2 linked regions of the Cricetulus griseus genome follow. The main gene of each other region encodes a partner of the protein of the gene in region 2 in a complex. Links are inferred from orthologs where the notes say so. Each region holds a gene or a part of one and is shown on either strand. Other genes may lie near its edges. The genes, in order: Ctnna1 and Ctnnd1.

What was found.
Region 1: Ctnnd1 (region 2) and Ctnna1 share a complex: the UniProt entries of both Homo sapiens proteins name them as parts of the cadherin:catenin adhesion complex. The link is inferred for Cricetulus griseus from reciprocal best matches to the Homo sapiens genes CTNND1 and CTNNA1.

Annotation. Positions count from the first base shown.
Region 1 is NC_048595.1:202,375,227-202,379,758, forward strand, and holds the start of Ctnna1 (catenin alpha-1), read right to left. Parts: upstream 2,929-4,532; 5' UTR 2,780-2,928; intron 1-2,779. UniProt on the Homo sapiens protein: Associates with the cytoplasmic domain of a variety of cadherins. The association of catenins to cadherins produces a complex which is linked to the actin filament network, and which seems to be of primary importance for cadherins cell-adhesion properties.
Region 2 is NC_048599.1:90,912,141-90,915,948, reverse strand, and holds part of Ctnnd1 (catenin delta-1), read right to left. Parts: intron 3,388-3,808; coding exon 3,316-3,387; intron 1,798-3,315; coding exon 1,645-1,797; intron 1,238-1,644; coding exon 702-1,237; intron 1-701. UniProt on the Homo sapiens protein: Key regulator of cell-cell adhesion that associates with and regulates the cell adhesion properties of both C-, E- and N-cadherins, being critical for their surface stability.

The sequences.
Region 1 (4,532 bases), on a different chromosome or scaffold from region 2:
CACTAAGGAGGTAGAGACAGAAAGGGTATGGCTGGTCAGAGAGGAATATAAGGCAGAAGGAGACAGGAGCTCATGGCAGCGTGAGGCAGCAGCAGTCTGCAGCATGCAGCAGTCTGAGGATGCAGTCTGAGCACTGGTGGAGGTGAGAACTCTCTAGGGGCAGGCTGCTCTGCTGCTGTGATCTTTCAGCTTTCAGCCTGATAGCTGACTGCTAGAATTCGTGCTACACTAGATCTTGAGACATAACTGAGAGTTCAATGCTTAAAAAAAAAACTTTATCAAGAGGCCTACACCCCATCACCAAACCAATCTTTACCCCCTTTTCCAAAATACAACTCCATTCATCCTGATCACCTTTATCCACATTACCTTCCTCAGTCAACTCCCTGCTTTTAGACACGAAAGAATTCAAATCTCTGAGCACCAACAAAAAATAAAAAGCTGCTCAGATCATGGAAGGCCCTAGAATGGCTTCTTACAGCTTTAGAATAAAATCTACACACAGCCATCTGTGACCTGGCCTTTGCCTTCCCTGACCACCTTATTAAACCTCCCTATTTCAGTACTCATAATACAAAGATCATCTCTACACCTCTAGTCCTCCAAATACTGTGCCAATGCTCAGGCTATATACATCTGTTAAGGACCCTATTCCTTTATTCTGGTCTAGGTTTTAGCCAGTACACTTAACTATCACCACCTTCAACAAGCAGGGCTATCTGTGCTGTCAGTAATGTGACTTTAAAAGAATTCAAGACCATTCGTACCAGTTACTCTGGCTCTCCACATCTGGTTGAGATCTCCAAAACAGAATTAAGTCTCACATCAGATATGGTTTGAGAAGCCGTGGGATATACAAGGAGACCCATGTGGCTCAAGAGAGACACCTAAACCCAAAAAAAGGAGCGGGACGTTAGCAGCTAAGGTTGATGGCAGAGGTAAGGGGGGTTGTACAGCTCATGGTACATTATTTGACTAGCATATACAAGGCTCTAGGTTTGTTTCCCCAACACCACAGAGGGCAGAAAGGGGGGTTGATGAGAGAAGGCACAAGGCAGTGATTCTCAACTAGGAAAAAAGACACCCCTCATCTCTAACCAATATATAAAATGTTTCTGATGGGAATGGAGGTGGTACTATATAACTGGTGCTGAAAACCAATGTTCTCAGGATAGATTACATGCAGGAAAGGGAGGGAGTGAAAACTAAAGAAAAAAAAAAACAAAAAACAGAACATCAGATTCCCCACACTTACATGCCCTTTTATGCCTTTCCCCTACTTTCTCCTGCCACGTGACTTCAACTCGTGCTTCACCCAATTCAAAAGCCACCACCTTCCAGGACTCCCAGACTTATAAACGTATTAACACTCCAAGCATCTGTGAATTTCTGTTGTTTGCATTATACACAAATTTGACCCAGACAGGTGTTACGTATGGAACACGTCTGAATCCCAACAATCAAGAAGCTTAAGCTAGCGTGGATTTCATAGTGAGAGCCAGTCTGAGGGGAAAAAAAAAAAAAAGGATACGACACTAGAGAAACTTCTGATCCTCAAACAAAGAGTAATTTTAAAACCTATTTTCTGACTTAGTTGAATCAGGACGTATAAACAATTGAGCAGAGGCTACGAATGATTTCCCCGCTCAATCCTTTTGTAAACTAAAACAAACTCCGTTTCTTAAAGTAACAACCACCTGTAGTCTTTAAGAATCAGTTAAACACAAAATATCCTTTTCAAAAACACCTATCATAAAGATACAATACACATACACAATACAGTGATGTATGCATGAGTTTACATTATAAATTATTGTGCATTCTATACAAAACACACAAAAAATGTTATGAAGACGAAGAACTTAAGAGGGTATCAACCGTCAATTTGAGCCAACTGCTAACTGAATTACTGGGATGGCCACTGCTTGCAATCCAAGGCTACCCATCCAGTCAACATTTTTCCTCCAAGTTCTACACACATTAACAAGTTCCTTTTAAAGGAAGGCGGGGCATTGACATCGCAGGCTTGCAATGTCCGCCCTCGGGAAGCTAAGGCAGGGAGCCCGAGTGTTCCAGGCCATCCTGGGCTACTTAGCAAGACCAGCCCTCGGTAGCACAAGGTCAGTAACAAGACCCTAACGCCACTCCTGAAAACTGGGTGTAAAGTCAGTCCAGTCAGGCAGAGAACGCGGATGAGTAATTTTAAAGTAAAGATTAACAACTTCTTGCCACAGGTTCACACGGGTGTGGCGCACCTTAAAGGACAAGAGCCCTGGAGAGCAGGAAGCTACGGCTCTCACACTCCGTGGGTCGGACTGGAATGCCAGCTCCCCCGACCTCTGGCCCCCGCAAACGCCCAACTTTCAGCGAGGGGGAGAAAGGGGGGAGGGGCGCGGCCGGCACAAATCCAGGGAACAATCGCGACCCTTAAAACACCCCACCGCCGGAACGCCAGAGACACTCCGAGGTCGCCTCTCAGCGGGGGAGGCGGCCCGAGGCGCGACGCCCGTCCCGCGAGCGCGCGCCCTGCTCGGGGAACAAAGTTTAGAAAGAGGGAGAAAGTTTTCCGAGAAGGCGCCGCGGCGGTAGCTCCGCTTCCCGAGCGTCGGGCTCCGCCCGCCCAGGCCCAGGCTGCTCCGGGAAGCCGCCCTGGCCCGACGCTCCCCAGGGCGGAGGCCGCCCAGAGCCTGCCTGCGCCGTCACCCGGACCCCGGCCAGCGGAGACCCTCGGCCCACCAGGGGCCCCGCGCGCGCCCCGAGGGGAGGCACAAAGATTTACCTGCGGCGAGCGAGGAGAACGCAGGACGACTCCTGAGGCGCCAAGCCGACGGCCGCCGCTTTGTCTCCCGCCCGTCCGGCTCCCAGGAGGAAATGGGCCGCCCTGCGCTCCCGCCCCCGGCCCGCCCCGCGCCGCGCCCGCCCGCCCTTCCCGGCACCTCCCTCCGCGCGCTCTTCCCAGCGCCTCCCGCGGCCTCCACACCGCTCGTCCCGGCCTGCGGCGGCGGGCGCTTTCGGGGAAGAGCCTCCCTCCGGGATGGTAGCCTGGCAACTCCAGGCTGGGACCCCCAGAAGTCCCTTTCGTTCGGCCTCGGGGCGCGCACAGCCTGACCCCCGACGGGAAGGAGGGGCGGCGACTCACGGAACAGCCCGCAGCCGGGGAAGGCGGGCGGAGGGCAGGTGAGTCACCGCTCCCAACTCAGGTGAGTCTCGGGGCGCGGCCCCGGAAGGCCCCGCCCCGTCCGACGTCCCGGGACCAGCGTGACGCCGCGGGGTCCTGCTGGTCTCACTCCTGTGGCGAATGTCATCTTGTCCCCTGGTCCAAGGCGCCCAGAAAAGGGGGCAGCCTACTCCTTGCTTTACCCGAAGAGAAACAACTCCAAGTAAACGTTCCACATCTCCCGGCACAGTGGAACGGGAATCCGATTCTCAGAACGGTTTTTTGTTTTGTTTTGTTTCGGGTTTTTTTTTTGTTTTTTGGTGTTTGTTTAGTTTTATTTTTGAGGTAGGTTCTCACGTAGGTCAAACTGGTCTTGAACTGGCTATGTCGGCAAGAATAAACTTTTTTTTTTTTTTGCATTTGGGCCGAGGGGCGGCACAAAGCTTGTGCTTGTGTACAAATCAGGATAATCTGTGGTTTTCTCTCACCATGTGGGTCCTGGGGATTGAACTCAGGTTGCAGGGCTGGGTGGCCAGTGCCAACTTGCCTTAAACTCTTGATTCTCCTGCTCACCTCCCAGCTGCTGAGATTATAGGCCTGCACCATTACACTTGGTTTGGGGCCTCTTAAAGAGTGGGCAGATGAGAGAGATGATCAGTGGGTAAAAATGTTTGCCCTCTACCAACAATGACGTACTAAGAGTATGAAGGCCACAGAGTTGACCTCTGACTTCCACCCTGGTGCAGGTGGCATATTCACCCACACAAAGTAATAAATTTTAATTCTAGGAAAAGTGGTTTGGAGATGCCTACTATGCCCTGGGTTCAGTCTTCAGCACTACAAACAAAAAAGGCCATTCTTGTCCAATTACATGCTTTTTGTTTCTAGTTTGGGGGTTTTGACTCTGGTGGTTTGAAAGATAGTGGCCCCCCAAAGAGCACTACTGGGTGTGGGTTCGTTGCCCCATTGGAGAGAATGTGTCACTGGGGGGGGGGGACTTTCAGGTCTCCTATATTCAACCTAACCCCAGGACACAGACTCCTTCCTGTTGCCTGCTGATCAAGATATAAGAACTCTCAGATCCTTCTGCCTGAATGCTGCCATGCTTCCCACCATGGACTAAACCTCTAGAAAGGTAATTGGAAATTGGATCTCCATTAAATGTTTTCTTTTCTTTCTCTCTCTTTTTTTTTTTTTTTTTTTTTTTTTTTTTTTTTTGGCTTTTCGAGACAGGGCTTCTCTGTGTAGCTTTATAGACCAGGCTGGCCTCCAGCTCAGAGATCCACCTGCCTCTACCTTCCAAGTGCTGGGATTAAAGGCATGCACCACCACGGAGTTGACTTTAACAAGCAAGGAGGCACAGCCTTTTAATCCC
Region 2 (3,808 bases):
GCGAGTGCCAGGATAGGCTCCAAAACTACAAAGAGAAACCCTGTCTGGAAACCCCCCCCCCAAAAAAAAGCTCTCAGGAACCAGAATGTGAACACTCACACTCTCTGTAATGCTCCTTTCTCTTTCACCAAAAGGGAGCCAAATCTTAGGCAGAAATTATGGCATAGCAACCAAGTCTCTTCTGTCTTTAGGACATAGACCAGTAACCATCACTAATCACTTTGGGGATACAGAAATGTTCATATAGTAAATTGTCCAAAGCAATCTCAAACTTAAATGCAATCATATGCCTCAGCCTCCTCAGCAGCAGAATTACAAGCGTTAAGTCATCACACCTGGCCACAAATCACTTTCTCACCAACTGTGGTGACACACACTTGTAATCCAAAGACTTACAAGTAGAGGAAGGAGGATCAAGAGTCCAAGGTCATCTTCTACTACATTAGCCAGACTGGTAGATAGCCCGAGCCACTTAGACATCTCAAAAAAGCAGTAGCAAACAAACAAAAAAATCTCTTAGTATAACTAAAATATGACTCTAATAACAAGAAAGAAAAAGAGAGCAAATCAACATTCAGTGAGCCTTCTATGAAAAAGAGAAAGGAACCAGTATCCAAAGGTGTCACTGACCCCAAAAAGCTTAGAAGATAATTCTATGCCTTTCCCATCTGGAAAGTCTTTCTTCCCCTATTCCTGCCCACCTGAGGCGTCGTCGAGGATCCGAAGGTGTTCCTGTCCGACGAGCAGTGCCATAATCGGACATCATGCCATAATCTAGGTCATCATAGCCCATGCTGCGCTGGTCATCCTCTAGCCCATAAGGCTCTGGATGAAATCGATGTAGATCCACACTGCTCCCACCTACTCGAACCTGGGGCTGGGGACCATAGACATCTTGTCTACTTGGTGCCCGGTAGCCTTCCATGCTGGGTCTATACCGCTCCTCAATTCGGGTCACCCGGGACAAACTGCCATAGTTGTCACTGCCACCTGGATAACCATCTTCATAGTGTCGGCCATATCCATCTGGAGGATAGTGGAAGTTCCTAGGAAGGGTCGCAGTGCCTGCCTGCCCTACATAGGGACCAGGGCCCCCATTGCCATTCTTGCGAAAATCACGGCCCAAAGTCTGGATATAGTTGTTGGAGACCGATGAGGCATCCACAGGCAGTCCATCTGGTCCCATGGGGACTGGCTGTACTGTCCGTGTTGTCACTGTCTTCACAACTTTCTTGACCTTCAGTTAAGGAATGAATGAGAAAATGAAAAGCAATTATTGAAGGAAATGAAGAATCTAAGTTTAAATTCCACACTACTCTAAGAAAAAAAAGAAACCCTACCTTCTAGATCTTTACCTAGAAATGTCTCATGTGTGTTATCAATACCTTTTTTCCATCCCACAAAAGCCCTTAAGTGAGAAAACTCTCCTGTCAGTAACAGACTCTTGGGCAACTATTATAGTTGTCATACTCCCTTCTCTTCCCCCTTCCATTACATTTTCCTACATTTGTTTTACCTTTTCTGTTTGCCCAGTGATCATTTTCTTTCTGGCAATCAGTGACCTGCACCCATCTACCTGGTTAACCTCATTACTAAAAGATCACAGAGGACCTATCACTCTAAGACATGAAAATTTCAGCTCACTGTGGTCTCTGTACGCCTAGTGGTCCCATCATCTGAGGTCTCCACAGAAACAACAGACATGGCTCCTTCAGGGTCCTCCTCTGTGTAGGTTTCCACAATCTGCCCTGGCTCCTGCATCCTGGGGATAGTGCTATACAGAAGGTGGTTGTGATCCTATGAGAGAGAAAAAGAGTAAAGCCACAACTAGAACTATGCAGTAATGATCCATCCTAATAAGAAACATTAATGCCTCTAGAGACAAGAAGTCTTCAGGCAAATCCAACTAGCCTCAGTTTTAGCAAGAGTGGTTGTCATCTTTTAAACTTGTAAAATGGCAGGGCATGGTAGTGCACACCTTCATTCCCAGAACTCAAGAGGCAGACATATTTGAGCATTCCAGGCTAGCCTAATTTAAATTGCAAATTCAAAGCCAGCCAGGACTACCTAGTGAGAGACTATCTCAATAAATAAATAACTTGTGTAAAGGACAGTAAATAGAATTTCCCTGATATAAAAACAGGTCTAGGCTAGGCATTGGTGGCACACGCCTTTAATCCTAGCACTCAAGGGAGGCAGAGGCAGGCAGTTTTCTTGTGAGTTAGAGGCCAGCCTGGTCTACAGAACAAGTTTCAGGACAGCCAGGATTCACAGAGAAACCCTATCCCAAAAAACCAAAGAGGTAACTAAAACCACGCTGGCATTCTAGTGGCAAAAACAGCAGATTTATCTTCCCATTCTGGTCACCTACTTGAATATAAACTGTGTTAACTGTTACCTCGACATCTGAGTAATGCTTCAAGAATAAAAATCTTTCAAGATTTAAAAAAAAAAAAAAACTAGCTGGGCGTTGGTGGTACACACCTTTAATCCCAGCACTCAAGGGAGGCAGAGGCAGGCGGATCTCTGTGAGTTCCAGACCAGCCTGGTCTATAAGAGCTAGTTCCAGGACAGCCTCCAAAGCCACAGAGAAACTCTGTCTCGAAAAATAAAAATAAAACTAAACTAATACACCAGGCCCAGCAAGAGTTTCATGTTATTCATCAGATACTGTTATTCCTTTGTTTAAAAAGAAGAAAAGAGAAATGCTGAGACATGAGACATAAGGCTATAAGTTTATTATAAGGCCCGGCAGAATGGGGAGACTAAGAAGAGGAACAGGGTAAATGGCTGACCGCCACGGCCGGTCGCCATAGAGAGACAGAGCGAGAGCATAGGTGGGAGACAGAGTAGAGCGGGGGGAGGGGGGGGGGGGGGGGGGGGGGGGGAGGGAGAACAGAGAGCACAGAGCACGTAAAGGGGGCAGGGACTTATCTTTTAAAGGGGTCCTCTGCACCTGCGTGCAAACTTAGTTCCCATGGAACCTTGGGCTGACCAGGGTACTGCCTGTTCCACCAGGTAACAGGGGCAGGCCAGCATAATGCCTGAACCTTTCAGATACTACCCAGTCAAGATTTTAGGTAAGGTTTTCTATAACGTAGAATTATGCCCCCTCTCCCCGACAAAAAAAAAAAAACTGTAATACCAGAGGATCAAATGAAGAGACAGGAGTAGCATGATAAAAGCCATTGATTTTTTTTTTAAATCAACAAAACTATATAATTTGGAAGGCACCCTTTTACTTTCCTAAATTAAAGAAAGACTGAAGAAGTAAAAAGATATGAAGTCATACAGACCTTGAGTCAAAACAATTACCTGTGGTCCGTTGAGTTTCAAATCTGAAAATTTCTGTCTCTCAAGGTCAGCATCGCCCATAAACCGGCCGTTCTGAAACATAGCCCACAAGACAATTCATTTTCTGGCCTTCCTTTGTTCTTTCAAACACAAACATCTTTCTTTCCAAACAGAAAAAAAAGGGCTTTCAAGAAGGTGTTTGTGTCCTGAAATCCCATGTCAGTCTTCATAAAAGACCCATAGCATTCCTTAATGTTAAGTTACCACTTTCCTCAACATTGAAATCAGGCCTAAAATTCTGGCAGACAGAGTCTCTGGAACATAGAATGTTAATTTCCATGAGTACACAGGGTTTGAGGTCAGTAGTATTAAGGATGTATCCCTATGGAAACAGTGCTTGCCACATGAGTAGCATTCAAAAGCCATTTGCTAAAATAAATAGCACAGAACCCCCCACATACAACCTTCTTGGAAAGCCCTAAGAATATAAGGAAAGTCAAAAAAGCTAACGGGG